Rattus norvegicus: one gene and its partners. The protein of the gene in region 1 interacts with the protein of each later gene in a biochemical or structural test. Links are inferred from orthologs where the notes say so. Each region holds a gene or a part of one and is shown on either strand. Other genes may lie near its edges.

Region 1 (6,256 bases):
AAGATGACAACACGAGGCCCAGACAGAGAACATGCTGGAAACTCTTGTCCTGACCTTGTTAGTGGAAGTGTGCGCGGAGAAGTCAGCGAAACATCATTTTCAGGGTGACTTTTTAAAAAGATTATATTCCTTATTTTTATAATTACATGGGTTTGGGGTGGGTAGGCGAGAATTGAAGAGTGTGCACCTGAATTCGGTCTCCCAGAGGCGGAGAGAGAGCCAGGGGATCCTGGTGGGGTAGTTTCAGACACGTGTGAGCTGTCCCACGCGGATCGGTCCCCTGGAAGAGCAGAAGAAGTGCTGTGCTGTCTCCCCAGCCTCCCACCCCCTTTTATGATGGTAATAGCTGGGCCTCACCCATGCAAAGCACACCACTGGCAATTTTCCACAGAGGAGGAAGTCTGAAATACACTTTGGACACCTTTGTGTGCATGTGTGTTGATAACGGGTGGAGTAAAACTTGGGATCTCTTGGTTTCAAGAAAGCTGGGACTGCAGGTGCAGTTCACACCCGGTTGGACTCCTTTCAACTCCAATAGTTGAGACATCTGTGGTGGGTGAACGAGGCCTAAGACTCCCAGCCAAACATCTTTCTTCTCTTCCTTTTCTTTTCTCCCCCCAGCGCATTGCTTCTCCAATGGATCTCTTAAAAGCCTTGGCCCTTGTGAACCGGACACTTACAGAATAAACATCTAAAGCCAGGAAACTAAGACAGTTGACCCCAGAGTTTCCTCGCGGCTCCAGAAAAGCCGCTAGATGGCGATCTGGAGCTGACCGCAAGATCCGACTCCTTCCTCTTCCCCTTACTTCCCAGCTAAGAGGCCCCTCTCCCGGAGGGTGACTGGAGTGTCCAGCTGACCCGGTTTCCTTGGGTTTCCCGTTTCAGAGATAGCCACTCTCCAGGCATAGCAAGAGCCAAAAGGCCCAATGGACTCCGTAGCGGTCCCGGGCAAGCCTGGAAAGGTGCAGAGATCCGAGCCGCTCCCTGCGCTGGTCCGCCGTCCCACCTCGCCTGTCCCCAGCAGAACTGGCGCTTGGTAACACCCCGCGGCCAGTCCCGGGCGAGCCTTCCCCGAAAGGGGCGCGCCTTCGTCGCTCCGGGTTGCTACAAGAGTCCTGGAGTTAAACTTTCAGCCAATAAAAAAGGGCATGGGGAGTGACGCACAGGAACGTCACGGGAATTCCCCCCCTCGGGGGGCCGAAAGGGGCTTTCCCGGCTGGAGCCCTACTGCTGGAGAGGAGCAACGACCGGTCCAGGGAAGGGCTCGGAAAGAAGTCGGAACCAGAGCCGCCACCACGGTGAGTGGCTGGATTCAGAACCCTGAGTGTCCAGGGAATGGAGAGGGAGGGAAGGGACACTTTAGATGACAGTCTGGGGCTGGACGCCACCTCCAGTGAGTGCGCACAGGAACAGAACACTTTGCTACACATCATCGACACGTATGCCTGCCCTTAGCCCGCCTGCGCACAGCCGGCCGGTGTCAGCCCTGCACACGCACTCGCGGGCAGAAGGGCACCAGTGCACCGGTGCCTGCACACGGACATCCAGACGTGCACGGACGTGTGCCCACACTGAGCAGCTCAAGAACTCACCTGTGTGGACGAATGCTCACTTGCACGTGCCACGTTGCCACCACTCGCACTCACCAGGCACACAAGACATTAGGGATGAAACGCACATTCCTGTAGCGGACACACGCGCAATACACATGGCTTTGGGATTGGGGTCGCCGGGGAGGGCGGAATGCGACCGGTTGCCTGGCCACCCAGAGCAGGTGCAGCGGGAGAATCCGGGAAGCTAAGACGTTCCGGAGTCTCCGGAGACCGTGAAGGGGGAAACTCCTTCCCCCCACCCAGCGGCCCGAATCACATTCTCTGGGCAGAACCCCCGGAGGCCCCACTGCAAGAGCCCCCGCCTACGGGCCATTCGGAAAAGGGGCCTCCGACGGCAGGAATGTCCCCACAAAAGCCCCTAGGTGAATCAGCCGTGTCCTCCACACTGGCTGAAAATCCCAAGGTTGCTCCAGGCTGCGGAGAGGGGGCGAGGCCGGCTAGGCCTCGACTGAGCCCCAGGGGCTGCAGCGGCTGCTGGGGAACCAGGAACAGCCTGGGCCTCCCGCCCCTCCCGCCGCGGGGGCGGGGCCCCGGCGTCATTTCCAGGCCCGCCCCCTCCGGCTCCGCCTCCCCCTGGTATTTTCGGGACTTTCCTAAGAGCACTAACTTTCTGCCCCTTCCCCGGCCCAGCCCCGATCCGGATCTCGACCTCCACCGGATCTTTCCCGCCACGCCCGGACGGGCGGCTGGAGGAGATCAGACCCTCCCCCAGATCTGAACCCCCCTCTCCTGCCCACCCCTATCCTGAGCTCTTCCCCTCTTCCCCCTCCTGTGCCTCTCTTCACCTTAGGCGGGCGTCTGAAACTCTGGGAAGCTGAACCGGGCCGAAGCCAAAAGACACAGCAGGGCCTAGCCCAGAAATATGGACCGTTGCTACGATCCAGTAAGTCACACTGCCTGACCCTGAAGGCGGCTGGTGCCGTCTGTGTCTGTATTGGACGCTCCTCCACTCCCTACTTCTGCACGGCTTCAAATTCCCCTAGTCTGTCAGTCTGTGCTGTCTGCAAACCCTGCCCAGAAAGGAGCTTCCTCATAGCTTGAAGAGGAGTCCTAGGAGTGACTGCAGAGGGCTTAAGGGGGGTGTGTGGGGGAGTGGGTGTGGGTTGAATCAGCTGCCACCTTCTCCGTCTATAAACCAGGGTTTGGATGGCATCCCTGAATATGATGATTTTGAATTCAGCCCCTCCATTGTGGAGCCCAAGGATCCAGCCCCAGAGACAGGTCAGTAAGTCTTTGGCCTCCCAGTGTCTGCAAACCTCGCGTGTTCCCTGGGGAGGCCCCACTGAGGGATGGTCTTAGATACCCCCCCCCCACGCTCAGCAAGGCCCCTCTATTTCCAGCTGATGGCCCCTATCTGGTGATTGTGGAACAGCCTAAACAGGTGAGTGAACAACAGAGATGTGATGGCTTCAGCTCTGGGGACACGTGGGGTGGTTATAACTGTCAATTGCTGCTATTTTGGGGGGTTATAAGGAAATATACAGGAGAGACACTATTGGTCATTGTGGTCAGTGTTAGCCAGTAGTTACCATGTGGGGGTGGCAGGGGGGAGTTGCCTCTCCTGATCACAGTGTCTCTTCCATGGAACCTTCAGCGAGGCTTCAGATTTCGATATGGCTGTGAAGGCCCCTCCCATGGAGGTCTGCCAGGTGCCTCCAGTGAGAAGGGCCGGAAGACCTATCCTACTGTCAAGGTGAGCTCGGATGATGACGCTGGAGGGTAGGAACGGGATATCCGCGCTACGACTGATGATGATCCTTTACCCTTCTCAGATCTGTAACTACGAGGGGCCGGCCAAGATTGAGGTGGACCTGGTGACACACAGTGACCCACCCCGTGCACATGCCCACAGTCTGGTGGGCAAGCAGTGCTCTGAGCTGGGGGTGTGTGCCGTGTCTGTGGGACCCAAGGACATGACTGCTCAGTAGGTGTTTCCGCCCGTGGCCCCCAGTGGGATGCTCACTGCCTGGCAGTCTCAGGTCTCAGCCTACCTGTGTGATTAACACACAAAGGGGGAGATGTACCTCGGCCCCAGAACCCCCAGGGCTCAGCTATAAACAGTTTCCTTGGAGGACAGAGCCCGAATGAGTCTGGCCATGTGCAGGGGTCAGGGGTGAGGGGAGGGGCGCTGCCTCAGAAGGAAAAAGCTTCATGGTCAAAGCCCTCTGACCCCTCCTTGCCCTCTCCAGATTTAATAATCTGGGTGTCCTGCATGTAACCAAGAAGAACATGATGGAGATTATGATTCAGAAACTCCAGAGGCAGCGGCTCCGCTCCAAGCCTCAGGGCCTTACAGGTGTGGTAGCAAGGGATGGCCGGGAGGTGTTTCGAGAGGAGCCGGGGAAAGGAGCTCAGAGCTCACACCACGTTGCCCCATCCAGAGGCCGAGCGCCGGGAGCTGGAGCAGGAGGCCAAGGAGCTGAAGAAAGTCATGGATTTGAGCATTGTACGGCTACGCTTCTCAGCTTTCCTTCGAGCTAGTGATGGCTCCTTCTCCCTGCCCCTGAAGCCTGTGATCTCCCAGCCCATCCACGACAGCAGTGAGTATTCTGCAGGGTGCCAAGTGTGGGTTCCCAAAGGAGCACTGGCGATACCTCCAAGCTATGGGGTTTGGCCCTGCTATGTTCGTGTTGGGTGAGTGGTCGTAAGCAAATCTGAGTGTTGTTTCCGAGTTGGTTAATGAGAATACTGTGGTTCCTGAAGTTTGATAATGATGACAATGACCTTGCCAAGCCTCCAATCCCATCAATGTGTCCCCAACCCATCCCCCACCTTATAGAGTCTCCAGGGGCCTCAAACCTGAAGATTTCCCGAATGGACAAAACAGCAGGTTCCGTGCGCGGTGGAGACGAAGTTTATTTGCTTTGCGATAAGGTGCAGAAAGGTGAGGCAGAAGCCCTCTCTGGGAGGTGGAAACATTGGCTGTAAGGCTTAGGGGCCAGGGCAATTTCGGAATGAATGCACTGGCCTGCAGGTTCTCCCTGTGGCTAAGCGTCACTTTTCTCTGTAGATGACATTGAGGTTCGTTTCTATGAGGATGACGAGAACGGATGGCAAGCCTTTGGGGACTTCTCTCCCACAGACGTTCATAAACAGGTACTGAGGAACTAGGGCCTGTCTTGGAGACAGAGCTATGAAGAGGCCTCACTGACACCATGTTGCTCTCCCACCCTCCACCCCAGTATGCCATTGTGTTCCGGACACCGCCCTATCACAAGATGAAGATTGAGAGGCCTGTAACGGTGTTCCTGCAGCTGAAACGCAAGCGTGGGGGCGATGTCTCCGACTCCAAACAGTTCACGTATTACCCTCTGGTGGAAGGTGGGTCAGGTGGGGCTTCAGCATTCCCAAAGACTGGACAGAGCAAGGCCGGCCTGGAGGTGGCCTAGAGTTGGCTCCCAGGAGCCGGCTTGAGGAATCTAGGGTCTGACCCATATTGGGTTTTAACTCCCCGATTCTCTTTCCCCCTAGACAAGGAGGAAGTACAGAGGAAGCGGAGAAAGGCCTTGCCTACCTTCTCCCAGCCCTTCGGGGGCGGATCCCACATGGGTGGAGGTTCTGGGGGCTCCGCTGGGGGTTATGGAGGCGCTGGAGGAGGTGAGCAGGTGTCCGTGGCAGGGAAAGGGGTGGAGGAGATAAGGCGAAGTTAGAAGAGAAATCTGGGAGAGTCCTGGCTAGCACCTCACAGCCTTCCCCATGCCCACAGGTGGCAGCCTCGGCTTTTTCTCCTCCTTCGCCTACAGCCCCTACCAATCCGGTGCAGCCCCAATGGGCTGCTTCCCGGGTGGGGGAGGTGGAGCGCAGATGGCCGGCTCTGGACGGGACGCGGAGGCTGGCGAGGCAGAGGAGCAGCCCAGAGCACCCTCCGAGGCCCCCCAGAGCGAGCAGCAGGCCCTGGACACGCTGCAGCGAGGTAGGTCTTAGGAACTCTGGGGGACGGGCGTGCACCAGGCTGGGGGTCTGGCCCGCACCCACGCGCCCTGTCGTCCCTAGCTCGCGAGTACAACGCGCGCCTGTTCGGTCTGGCGCAGCGCAGCGCCCGAGCGTTGCTGGACTACGGCGTCACCGCGGACGCGCGTGCTCTGCTAGCGGGACAGCGCCACCTGCTGATGGCACAGGACGAGAACGGAGACACGTAAGCAACCACCACAGGACCGACGTCTGTGGGACCTCCAGTGGCTGGGATCTTCTGCTCCCAGGTCTAGAGGTTCAGGTAGAGGAATCTGCAAAGAGCTGAACCCTGGGGTTGGACAGATCTGGTCTCAGGTCCTCGCTGTTTTCTAGATATTTACTTACTCTCTCTGACCTTCAATATTATTAGCTATGAAGAGGCACAATAGCAAGGCGTGACAAAAGATTAAGATGGTGGCATACAGGTTTCAAGGGGCCTCAGTAAGGGAGACAGTGGAGTGTGGAGTTTTGAGGGCATATGATGCTCTGGGTGACTGGGTTTCTGAGGTCAAAAGTCTCACTCTCCACCCCCAGGCCGCTGCACCTGGCCATTATCCATGGGCAGACTGGTGTCATTGAGCAGATAGCCCAAGTCATTTATCATGCTCAGTACCTTGGGGTCATCAACCTCACCAATCACCTGCACCAGGTAAGGGGGGAAGCCTTTGGGGAGAAGTCGTAGGCAGGGAGGC
Region 2 (5,495 bases), about 800 kb from region 1:
CACCGTGTTTGGTGGGCTCTTAACTTCAGGATAAGGAATTAAATTTTTTACCCAGCAGGAAGTGATTGCCATTTACCTTTGTTTGTTTGTTTGTTTGGTAGCAGTCTAGCTTGGCTGTGAGCCTTTAGAAATGTGCTGTCGTAAGGAAGGGCACGTAACGTGCTGCATGCCCGAGTCAAAGTCAGGAAATGGCATCTGTGTGCACGCCAGAGCACGCCTCTGAAAGCAGCCTCCTGCCTCACATATGATGCACCTCTTCCCTCCCTACTGTTAGACATGCATGCAGTCCTTTGTCTCTGTTGTAGGACCTGAACTGCCTCTTTTGGCAGTGATCAGGAATAGCCAGGGTGACCAAGCAGACAGCTAGCAACACACCTTACTCTGTGCTAAATAACATGAAGCTCGATCATGACAGAAGGAAGCATTTCTGTTACCCAGCATGCTAGGCGTCCTCTGACGCTGGCACAGCTTGACTCGGGCTTGTGCTAGTTCGGCGGCAGCACACTGGTAGAGTGGTAAGCTGCTGTGCCCAGTGAGCATTGCTCTGGGTTCAAGCCACAGCACTAAGGGAGAAAAGGCAATAGTTATTATTAACCAGAGGAATCACCATTTTATCAAACGATGAAGTCAGTAAATGTATAGAAGCCTAACAGACCAGCAGATGGGTTCTGAGTATACTTCTATCAGCCTAAAGCATCCCAGAGGGCTTGGTACTCTGACATTCTGTACTGGAACCAATGTTGGTCCAGTTCCTTAGATTCCACGTTAACATTTTGACAGAGGACTCCAAAAATCAGCTGACCATCGTGCCTTGCCAGACTCATTAATGGAAGTTATGTGTAATGGTAGCTGAAATACTTTGTGAAAAGTAGAAAGCTGCTTATAAATGGATTTATGATATTTTCACTGGTCAATATTTGTTTTTTAGGGGACAATACTTATTCAAAAACAAACCTCCTGATGAGAATGCGCCTCCCAACTCCTTTTATAGAGCGCTTTATCCTAAAATTATACAAGACATTGAGGTAAGAATCGATGTTTCCAGACATTTGCTGAGTGGAAATGTATCATTAGTATGCTTAAGTTACAGTACTATAGAAAACCCATTAAACTTTTCAATGTGAATCAGCAGAAGTTGGTATCTTTACTAGAATAAGGTTGATAAAGTACAGAAAATTCCTGGCCAAATTTTGTCCAGCTTTAAAACCTTTGTAGAGAAGGATTGCCACCTTCCTAAAACAGCAGTGTGAGTTTGCAACTCTGACGCTGGTGAGCTTCAAGAAAGGCCATCAGCAGGCATGGATACCACGTGCCTAAGAGGAACACTGGGCCTGCAGCCTTACTTGGTGCCTACCTTTTAGCTTGTTGTATGAAGCATATTGAGCAGTGGCTCTCAACCTTCCTAATGTGTGGTAGTGACCTCCAGCCATAAAAATTATTTTCATTGCTACTTCATAACTGTAATTTTGCTACTGTTGTGAATTGTAATGTAGATGTCTGTTTTCCAGTGGTCTTAAACCACCCCTGTGAAAGGGTTGATGAGGCCCCAAAGGGGTGGAGACCCACAGGATGAGAACCCCTGCCGTAAACTGAGGTGCCTTCTTTCCTAATTAACTGTTGCTTTGGAACCTCTGTTTAGACAATAGAGTCCAATTGGAGATGTGGGCGACACAGTTTACAGAGAATCCACTGCCGGAGTGAAACAAGTAAAGGGGTCTACTGTTTACAGTATGATGACCAGAAGATAGTCAGTGGCCTTCGAGACAACACCATCAAGGTGACTGGACCCTCCTCACGGGAGGAGCATTGTTGGAGGAGGGTGACCACACTCACACAGCAGTCTGAAGCCTGGCCTTGAGTGTTGTTTCTAGAACATGAGAATCATTTCCCTGAAGGGCAAATGTCTGCTTCTCCCCACACAATCGTATAAATGCGTAGTCCAGGGTTGAACCCCCTTCTAGAAGTGCACTGATGGGGGAACTGTTGTTACTTTGGCCTTGGTAATTATAGGCTACTCTTCCGCCTTGATGAAAAGGATAAGTTAGCATTAGAGCTGAAGTCAACACATCCAGGAGCTTAGCTCAACCTGGAGGAAAGAACGCAGTCTTGCCCTCTCTGGGCTTTGATGTTGGGGATCACACATGTCCAGAACAACAAGTCTCCACAGCACCCATTATGACAGTGATCAAAAGGGTCTCGTTTGCCATCCTAGATCTGGGATAAAAGCACACTGGAATGCAAGCGGATTCTCACAGGCCACACAGGCTCTGTCCTGTGTCTGCAGTATGACGAGAGGGTGATCATCACGGGCTCCTCAGACTCCACCGTCAGGTATGGCCCTGCTACCCCTTTGAACTCTAAGCCTCCGATTTGTGTCACAGTGACTGCGTCTTGGTGAACTCAGTTCGGAAACTAAAGAATAAGCTGTTAGCTTCCTGTCGGTCACTTGTCACTCCAGAACCAACACTTGATGTTGGAACCGTTGGGTAGATTTCTACTTTGGCACATTTAAGAAGCTACACACAGACTTTAATTTGGAGGAGCACCTGTCCTAGGAACTCCCCCTCTATATGGGAAGCCTTGTATTCCTTATGGAGCTAGCTCACGGGAATGGCAGGAAGGGAATGAAGGCTGACTTTCAGGTGATTGTAACTGCGGGGCAGGCATGTGCGAGCTCTTTCAAGTGGATACAGCCCTCCCCTGCCATCCCCACAGTGTTTAATTGCAAGCTTTACTCTAGGAGGGGGCCCTCAATTTCCAGAGGCTCTGGTGATTTGATGGCACAGCCGTTGTGCTGCTGGAGTCCAGTGTTGCTTGAGTTCAGGATTCTAGTGCACTGCTGGGAACCTGCCAGGGATTTCCCCTGAAGCTAAGGGTTTGCAAACACACCAAAAGTCACTTTTTATAACAACTGGAATAGACGGCAGTTATCTGCATTGTCAAATTCTCTAAAGTTATCCCTGTAAATAGGGATAGTGTTCCTTCTACTTCTAGCCACAACAGACCCCCCCCCCCCTTGCAGTCGCTGGCTCTTAACTCTTGGCCTTTGGGGTGCCTCACAGGAGCTGGAGCATGGTAGATGTTTAGGTCATTTACAGAATAGGGGAGAGATGGTGTTTGTTTGCTGTCTTGGTGGTTTGGGGATTGAACCCAGGACTTAGCATGCTAAATAGCAGTCCACCTCCTAGCAACACTACAGCACAAAACTATCTTTCCAAAAGGAGGGTAAACTGGGAAGGAGAAACCCAATCAATGTGCAGAAAGAAAGCAATTGAGGCAATTCTATCTTGGCACAGTTCTCAAGCTCTGCAAGGGTCTCCACTGCCATAAAGCACATGCTTAACGTGGGCGGGAGGGCTCCTCTTGACCAGCCTGCCCCTGAAAAGCACGAAAACGGATGGAGCCTTGGAGTTAGAGTCTAAGGTAGAGAACTTAACGTTCAGGGAAGTAAAAGTCGAGTCCGCATTACTCAATCTGTGGCAGAACATCATGGCCCGTGGATGCAGTGATTGGACAGATACTACTGCTGTTCCTTAGCAGGCTCCTGTTTCCATGTGCCTTCTGTATTGAATGTCAGTATTAAAATAATAACCCAAAAAGCTGGGCCAAATTACCAGATGAGAGTGACTCTCATCCCTGAGCGCTGCGCAGGAAGCCTCGCTAAGCCTGTCCTCTGCGTTGTTTCCTGTGTGTGCTCTACCTGGGGGACGCAGAGAAAAAGCACACTTGCCATCAAAGTGGGAGGTGAGCCAGACATGGTGGTGCACACCCTTAGTCCCAGCACATGGAAGGCAGAGGCAGGTGGATCTCTGTGAGTTCACAGACATTCTGGTCTACAAAGTGAGTGGGGACAGCAAGGACTACACAGAGAGACCCCCATCTCTAAAACAAAAAGAAAGTAGGGGTGGCATTGATGGTAAGCTCCATGGTAAAAAACAGGCATGCATTGTCCTTCACGCTATCGGTCTCCCCGGTACCCTTTTCAGAGTGTGGGACGTAAATGCAGGGGAGATGCTAAACACATTGATTCACCACTGTGAAGCCGTCCTGCACCTGCGCTTCAATAACGGCATGATGGTGACCTGCTCCAAAGACCGATCCATTGCTGTGTGGGATATGGCTTCCCCAACTGACATCACCCTCAGGAGGGTGCTGGTGGGCCACCGAGCTGCGGTCAATGTTGTCGACTTTGATGACAAGTACATCGTTTCTGCCTCTGGAGACAGAACCATAAAGGTAACAACAGGCCACCTCTCAGGAAGTTCACAACTGCAGCAAGGAGTTTGTGTGGTTGAGGACAGCTCTGTGCATAAGTATTGTTGTAGAATAATTTAATAATTCAATTCAAATTTTATCTTTTTTTTTAAGATTTGTTTTATGTATATGAATACACTGTTGCTGTCTTCAGACACACCAGAAGAGGGTGTCAGATCCATTACAGATGGTTGTGAGCCACCATGTGGTTGCTGGGAATTGAACTTAGGCTCTTAACCACTGAGCCATCTCTCCAGCCCCCCAATTTTTTTTTTTTTAATCAGAGCTGAGGACCGAACCCAGGGCCTTGAGCTTGCTAGGCAAACGCTCTACCACTGAGCTAAGTCCCCAACCCTGGAGGTATAACTTAATGGCAGACCACTTGTCTGGTATGCCCAAGACCCAGCATGGAAAAATGACAGTGCCACAGATGGTGGCAATGACAGGGAGCATGGGAAAAGGAGACGCTAGTTTAAGGTCAAGAAAATACATACTAGAGCTAAGGAAATGACCAGTGTGACAAAGCCCTCGCCACATAAGCATGAGAACCTGCATTCAGATTCCCAACAGCCATGGGAAAGCCAGATGCATCACCTCACATTAGTAGTCTTATTGCTCAGGAGGCAACGGTGCCCAGTCCCCAGTGGTCAGTGGCCAGCCATCCCAGCCAAATAGTAAGCTTCGTGTTCAAAGGCCCTGTCTGAAGAATAAGGTGGAGGGGCTCAAGGCAGCTCAGTGTGTTCAGACTGCTTTCGCCAAGGACCTGAGTTTAGTTGTTTGCATGCAGATAGTGGCTCAAAACTACCTGAGTCTCGAGCTCCAGAGGATCCAACTTCTGGCCCTGTGGATCCTTCCAGAGGATCCTTCCTTCCAGCTCACACATGGTACACACAAACTCAAGCGTTACAATACACATAAAAAATATCTCCAAGGGCTGGAGAGATGGCTCAGCCGTTAAAGGCTAGGCTCACAACCAAAAAATATCTCCAAAAAAAGTAAGGTAGAAGGAACTGAGGAGGACACTGAGTATGCACACACACGAAAGGAGACTAATTCATAGAGTAAGTCATTGGCACAGTCTCATGTGACAGCAGCCAGCTTCCCATTAGCTCTCCGGTGCTATGAATTAAACCTGGCTCTTGTTTTCCATTGCTGTTTCCTCTGTTGAGTCTCTTCTGTTTCCTGCTTACCTTTTACTGGTAGAAGTACCGATCCACTGCTCAGCTGTCACTTTTGTGTCT
Region 3 (6,250 bases), about 170 Mb from region 1:
TGGGCTATCAGAAGCTGATTCCTTACTGTCCCCTTACTGTACCCCTCCCATGCTGGCAGGCAGAGGTGACATTGCCCTGCTGTCCAGAACAAACCAAGTCTCAAGAGAGAAGATTGACTACTCTGAGTTCATGGAAAAGGTCACTGAGGTCATTGGGGACAGGAACCCAAGGGCCTGGCATGACCGGAAAGAACCTTATCATTGAGCTGTACCCCAGGATATATAATGTATATAAGACATTTACTTAGAGTGTGTTTGTGTGTGCACATGGGGCAAGACGTGCGAAGGACCTTGTGGGAGCCAGTTGTCCCCTCTGACCCAATACTGAACTCAAGTCATTCTGCTTGGTGATTAGCACCTTTAACTGTTAGGCCACCTCACTGGCCACTTCTTCATTTGTGGGACCACGTAGCCCAGGCTGGCCTCAAACGTTCTCTCTAGGTGGCTAAGGCTGGGCTTGGTCCTAGCCCACCTGAATTTACCTCCATGGCGCTGGAATGCCAAGCATACACCACCATGCTCAAGCAGCAATTTTGGCTTTGACTTATATCATTGAGATAGAGTGTCCACAAGTTGCCCAGTTAGTCTTCAATCCACTCTGTAGCCCAGGCTAGTTTCAACCTTTCTATACTCTTTCCTTAGCTCCTGAGTACCTTGAATTACAGGCAAATGCAACTCCCCAGGTGGCTTGGAGGTAAGATTTGAACACAGATCTCTTCAAATCAGCTGATTCACCTTAATGGCACACTGTGGGGTGGGGTGGGGGTGGGGCAGCCGGAGGGAGACAAAAGGCGATGGGAAGTGGTAAAGTCACCTGGCACCTCGAATCCACAAACCAGGTTAACCATCCACCTGGGTGCGGCCCCAGCCGGCCAAAGTCCATTCACAGGCTTCACACCCACTTTCTTGGTCCCAAAGAAACACCACGGAGGTCACAGAAACTAAAAGGGACAGAAAAATGGAGGTGGTGGTTCACGCCTGTAATCTCAGCACCGAGGCTGAGGTAGGAAGATTGTCCCTAGTTCGTGGCCAGCCTGAGCTACAGAGACTCTTCTTGTCTGGAAAAAAAGGAGTCGGGAAACAGGATGAGGAGACAGGTTTGTAGAGACACATGGACCTGCAGAGAGAAAATCAGGGGACCCTGAGAATCCTCTGGGCAGGTTTGCCTGCGGTGCCTATTCCCCTGCCTCTCTGTCTACAAAGCCGCCCCGCCCCCCTCCGCCTCCCTGTGACTCAGTGACCTGGACTCAACCCCAGTGTGTGCTCCACCTCCCGGGATGTCCGGGAAAGCCCCGAGCTGCTGTGTCCCGCCCCGGGGCGGACCCGGAGGAGGCGGAGCCTCTGCCCCGCCTCCTAGGCTCCTGCGCGTTTGAGTCAGGGCCCCAACCAGCCCGGCCTGTTCCCCACCAGCCAGCCCCTCCTTGGGGTGGGAAGGGAAGTGGGGAAAGCTGAGGGAGTCAACCTGCACCCCCAACCCCCCACAAGTGTCTGGCCTCGAGCCCTAGCTGAGGTCTGCAGATCTAAACTCTTAACTCCCCCTATCTACACTTGCATCTCTCAGGATCTGTCTCTTCCCTCTCTCTGCATCTGGGATTCATTGGTGCTTTTTTCTCTGAGGCCTCTAGCTGGTTGCTGGGGACCTGACAGGGAGACCCATTCAAAGCTCGCCTGCACCCCTAACCACCCTGTGCCCTGTGAATCAGGAGGGACAAGGAAGGCAGAGGGTGGCTACATTCTGGGCATCAGCCAAGAACCAGTCCCTGCCCTGGGCTGGGCTTTTCTCGTGCACAAAGAGTGAGTCTGAGCTTACCCTGATGGTGCAGATTCCACCCCACCTCAAGAGACAGGCAGGAGGATTTCAAGTTCAAAGCCATCCTGGGCAACAAAGGCAAGGCCAGGCCGGGCAGCTTAGTCTTAAAATGGAACGCAAAGAGGGCTGGGAGAGGGCGCAGTGTGCACAAGCCTAGGCTCTAGCATTGCGAAAAGGAACCGGCTCAGAGGGAGAAGAGCATGGCCAAGGTCACCCATGAGGAAGTAGGGCTCAGGATTCAGACCGATGCCCTAGGAACCCTGGGGCCTCTAAGAACTTCAGGGTTGGGACCGAGGGAGATGGTTGGTTGAAAGACTCAGAAACACTAAAGGAAAGATGGGACCAGTGGGAGGGGAGTCTCATAAATGTAGACCCCGATAGCCAGACACAGACAAGAGATTCGGGGGGGGGGTTGGGGGACGGGCTGAGAAGCAAGATCCTTAGCACGCAGGAGCCCCCACTCAGTCAACAGAAACGTTTGCTTGTTTTAGTGTTCCAGGGAAGATGAGGTGGAGGTGGGAGGATCCGGAATTCAAGGTCATCCTCTGCTACATAGCAAATTCAAGGTAGCCTGGGCTATGTGACCCCTGGTAGAAGAGAAAGGAAAGAAGGAAGGATAGATAGATAGATAGATAGATAGATAGATAGATAGATAGATAGATAGATAGATAGATAGATCAAGGCACAGTAGTACAGGAGTCATTTCAGAACTCAGGAGGTGGAAACAGGAGGAGCAGAAGTTCAAGACCACCCTCTGCTACATAGCGATTTCGAGGCTAGCCTGGTCTACATGAGCTCCAGTCTAACAAAGTGAGAGACAGACAGAAAGTGTGGGAATCTCAAGGACTCAGATCCAGAGCTCCGGACCAGAGGCACAATGAGCAGAGTGGCGGGTGGGGACCAGGAGCTCCGCCTCTGAGACACGGGTCCAGGAAACCCCTGGGGCGGACGGGTGGCCCCGGGGGCCCGGGGGCGGGGAGGCGGGAGGCGGGCGCCGCCCGGACTGACAAAAGTCCCTTCAGTTCAGTCGGCGGCAGGGGAAGTCCCGCAGCCCGGCGAGACCGCCTTCCCGTGCTGAGCTCGCCGCACGCCCCGGCGTCTCCGGGCGGCCCGATGCCCCGATGCCCCGCGGGGGCCATGGACGAGGGGCCCGTGGACCTACGCACCCGGCCCAAGGGCATCTCAGGCGCCGCGCTGCCACTCCGCAAGCGCCCGCTGCGTCCCGCGTCTCCAGAGCCCGCAGCCCCGCGAGGTCCTGCTGGACCCCTGGACGCCCTGCGCAGCAACTGCGACGTCCCGGCTGTCCCTGGACCCCCTCACTGCGTGGCCAGGCCGGAGGCTCTTTACTACCAGGGTGAGTGGCCTCCCCCATGAGAGTCAAGGCCGGGTGGGGGCCACCTAAGGTCAGCAGAACATAGGACACAAATAGATGGGGTTTCTGGTAGCTGGAACTCCAGGGTAGAAGTTGGTGTCCCAGAGACAGCTAGGAAAGAGGTTGAGAAACACTGGAGCTCAGCCATGAAGGTGCCAAGGGGCTCACCCAGGCAGGTGCCCAAGGGTCAAATGGCCTTGGGGGTGGAGGTCAGAAGACAGTGTCCAGTGGCGCAGATATGGGGTCCCAATTCACTCCAGAGATGCAAAATGGCTGGGAGAGACCAGATGTTCAGGACTATGAAATAATTGTTACTCGGGCCTTGGAAACTGGGGTTCTGGTAAGCAGATTTGGGGAGATGAATAGAAACAGACCTGGGGTCCAAGGAAGCTGATACCGTAGGTTAAAATCTTGGGAACCAAGGTTTCAGGGGGTATAGGGACTGAGAGAAAGGCATTTGGGTCTGAGCACCCCCGTGTTTGGGCCACAACTCTACACGATGACATGAAGAGCCCCAAGGACCCCAATATTTTGCAGACGCGGAGGAGTCAGCAAACAGAGCCAGCATTCTGCAGGCCATTTGCGTGCACTCACAAGTGTTCCTAGGTCAGGTAGCCCTGGGGGCAGGTTTGGGGACAGAGGGTTCTAAGAGGGGGAACACGAGGAGGTTAGAAACTGAAGGACTTAGGTCCAAGAGGAATTCAGAGACCTAGAAAGGTAGGACTTCAGAAAGGGAACCCTAAAGCTGGTCAGAGAGCAGGAAACCAGATACTCTTCTCCTCAACTTTTATATCCAGGAAGGGGCATCCCCTGCAGTAGCTACATTACTATCTGCTAAATACCCCAGAGATGATGAGTTTCTCTGGGCCCTCCAGGGTCTCCAGCTTCTACCTATCCATGCTTCAGCTGGAGGACACTGTGTGACAGGAGGCCTTCCTCCGTCTGATGTGAACCCTGTCCTCCATTTTCCCATCCGTGCAATGGTCCTTCCAACCGTGTCACCCAAAAGGGTTCTAGGGATAAGTTTCCTGACTCTCCCAATGCACCAGACCCCAAGACCCCTATTAGTTCATCATTTATTCTTTCAACTATGAGATTACTCAGTGTAGTCTTATTCCTGAGGTCCCACACTGGGTGGTGACAGGGCTCTCTCTGCCCTTAAGGGTCTTTTCTGCTGTTAGAGGTCAGACATTTGTGAGAGAAGAGATGTGATGTAGAAAGGAATAGAGATGAGGGATGGAAGTTAGGGGTAAGAGATGGAGGTTAGGGATGAGGGATGAGGGATGGGGTTAGGGATGAGGGATGGGGGTTGGGGTTGAGGGATGAAGGGTGCAGGAGTTGGGAAGAGGGGTATAAACAAGAACATTGTCTTAGACCTTGAGGGCCAAGTTTGAGGAGCTAATGGAACCTGATAGTCGAACACTGTATCTGCAAGCCTGTAGTAATCCCAGCACTTGGGAAGCTGAGGCAGGAGGATCTCCTTGAGTTTGAGGCCAGTCTGGACTCCATAGTGACACAATGTTTCAAAGGAGAGGTGGGGGCCAAAGAGAGGGTTTAGTGGTTAAAAGCACTTGGCGGCTCTTGCAGAGGACTAGAGCTTGTTCCCAGCATCCACATCTGACTGCTCACGGTTCTGGGGATGCAGCGCCCTCTGCTGGCCTCTGAGGGGGTCAGGCAGGCCTGTGGTACATACTCAGGCATTATTCATGGGCATTAAAACAGTAAATACAACCTTTAAAAGTAATAACTAAAAATAGATCTTTAGGGTTGGGGATTTGGCTCAGTGGTGCAAGCGCAAGGCCCTGGGTTCGGTCCCCAGCTCCAAAAAAAAAAGAAAAAAAAAAGAAAAAAAAATAAATCTTTAAAAGAAAAGGGACCTTGGGACAGGGAAGATGGCTCCGCCATTAAAAGTATTCACTGTTCTTTCAGTGGGCTTGAGTTCAGATCCCAGCACCCATGTGAGGACTTACCAATCCTTGTTAACGCCAGTTTAAGAGGATCTGGCACCCTCCAGTGGCCTCTGTGGGCACATGCACAAATGTGGCACACACACACACACACACACACACACACACACACACTTTGAAAATAAAGAAATATTTATTTTTTTAAAGAAAAAAATCTCATAGTATATGAGGTGATACAGCTCTTATAAGCCCAGCACGGAGGGGAATGGAGGCAGGGGGATCAAGGATTCGAGGTTATCCTCAGCTGCATCAGGATCATCCCGGGCTACATAAGAATGGAAACAGGGCATCTGAGAGGATGCTAAGACCCAAAGAGAGAGACCCCCTGCACAAAGGCCTGTGGGGTTGGCTTCATCCGGGTCTCCGCTTGTCTCTGCTCTTCCAGGACCTCTGATGCCCATGTACTCTACCCCGACTATGGCCCCGCCCTTTCCGCTGCTGAACCTGCCTACTCACCCCTACTCCATGATTTGCCCCGTGGAGCACCCCCTTTCAGCTGACATTGCCATGGCCACCCGGGTGGATGAGGACGGAGACACGTAAGTGACAGGGTGTGGGAGGAGCTCAGACCTCCGCAACAAGGGGCTATCAGGCTCTGCCGCCACCGCCGGCCAACACTGAACAGCACCCTCTCCTCTGCTCACAGCTTCCTTTTACAGGCAATGGGCACTCATTGGCTAATACGGTTAGAAGGACAGTGACTTTTTTTCTTTTTGGTTGTGGGGGTGGGAGACCGAACCTTGCACATGCTCCGTTCTTGCTGCTCTAACAGGAAGCCACGCCCCCAACCTCTCAGAATTTTTATTATAATCCAAATATGAGAACTATATATCTTTGTTTTAATTTCTTTTACTGTTATTTTTGTATATGGGTGTTTTGTCCCTGTGAGTTTCTGTGCACTGTGTATATATGCCTGGTGCCTGAGGAGGCCAGAAAAAGGCATCGGATCCCCCTGGAAATGGAGTTATAGATAGTGGGAAGCTTCTATGGGTCTTCTGGAAGAGCAACCATTGCTTTTAACCGCCGAGCCCGCTTTCTAGCCCTTTTCCCATTTTTGAGTCAAGATCTTACTATGTGGCCCTAAGTGACCTGAAACTCACT

Evidence for each region.
Region 2: of the proteins of Nfkb2 (region 1) and Btrc, one has a biochemical effect on the other in vitro, tested with the Homo sapiens proteins (2 studies listed by BioGRID, with this or other methods). The link is inferred for Rattus norvegicus from reciprocal best matches to the Homo sapiens genes NFKB2 and BTRC.
Region 3: the proteins of Nfkb2 (region 1) and Bcl3 form a complex in vitro, tested with the Homo sapiens proteins (2 studies listed by BioGRID). The link is inferred for Rattus norvegicus from reciprocal best matches to the Homo sapiens genes NFKB2 and BCL3.

The regions. Positions count from the first base shown.
Region 1 is NC_086019.1:255,106,157-255,112,412, forward strand, and holds the start of Nfkb2 (nuclear factor NF-kappa-B p100 subunit), read left to right. Parts: upstream 1-2,217; 5' UTR 2,218-2,475; coding exon 2,476-2,496; intron 2,497-2,752; coding exon 2,753-2,834; intron 2,835-2,953; coding exon 2,954-2,994; intron 2,995-3,207; coding exon 3,208-3,306; intron 3,307-3,385; coding exon 3,386-3,537; intron 3,538-3,802; coding exon 3,803-3,909; intron 3,910-3,994; coding exon 3,995-4,153; intron 4,154-4,392; coding exon 4,393-4,497; intron 4,498-4,623; coding exon 4,624-4,709; intron 4,710-4,795; coding exon 4,796-4,934; intron 4,935-5,084; coding exon 5,085-5,210; intron 5,211-5,319; coding exon 5,320-5,526; intron 5,527-5,606; coding exon 5,607-5,748; intron 5,749-6,098; coding exon 6,099-6,213; intron 6,214-6,256. UniProt on the Homo sapiens protein: NF-kappa-B is a pleiotropic transcription factor present in almost all cell types and is the endpoint of a series of signal transduction events that are initiated by a vast array of stimuli related to many biological processes such as inflammation, immunity, differentiation, cell growth, tumorigenesis and apoptosis.
Region 2 is NC_086019.1:254,305,145-254,310,639, forward strand, and holds part of Btrc (F-box/WD repeat-containing protein 1A), read left to right. Parts: intron 1-928; coding exon 929-1,025; intron 1,026-1,639; coding exon 1,640-1,777; intron 1,778-2,212; coding exon 2,213-2,331; intron 2,332-3,986; coding exon 3,987-4,236; intron 4,237-5,495. UniProt on the Homo sapiens protein: Substrate recognition component of a SCF (SKP1-CUL1-F-box protein) E3 ubiquitin-protein ligase complex which mediates the ubiquitination and subsequent proteasomal degradation of target proteins. Recognizes and binds to phosphorylated target proteins.
Region 3 is NC_086019.1:88,610,191-88,616,440, reverse strand, and holds the start of Bcl3 (B-cell lymphoma 3 protein), read left to right. Parts: upstream 1-2,885; 5' UTR 2,886-2,923; coding exon 2,924-3,164; intron 3,165-5,534; coding exon 5,535-5,688; intron 5,689-6,250. UniProt on the Homo sapiens protein: Contributes to the regulation of transcriptional activation of NF-kappa-B target genes. In the cytoplasm, inhibits the nuclear translocation of the NF-kappa-B p50 subunit.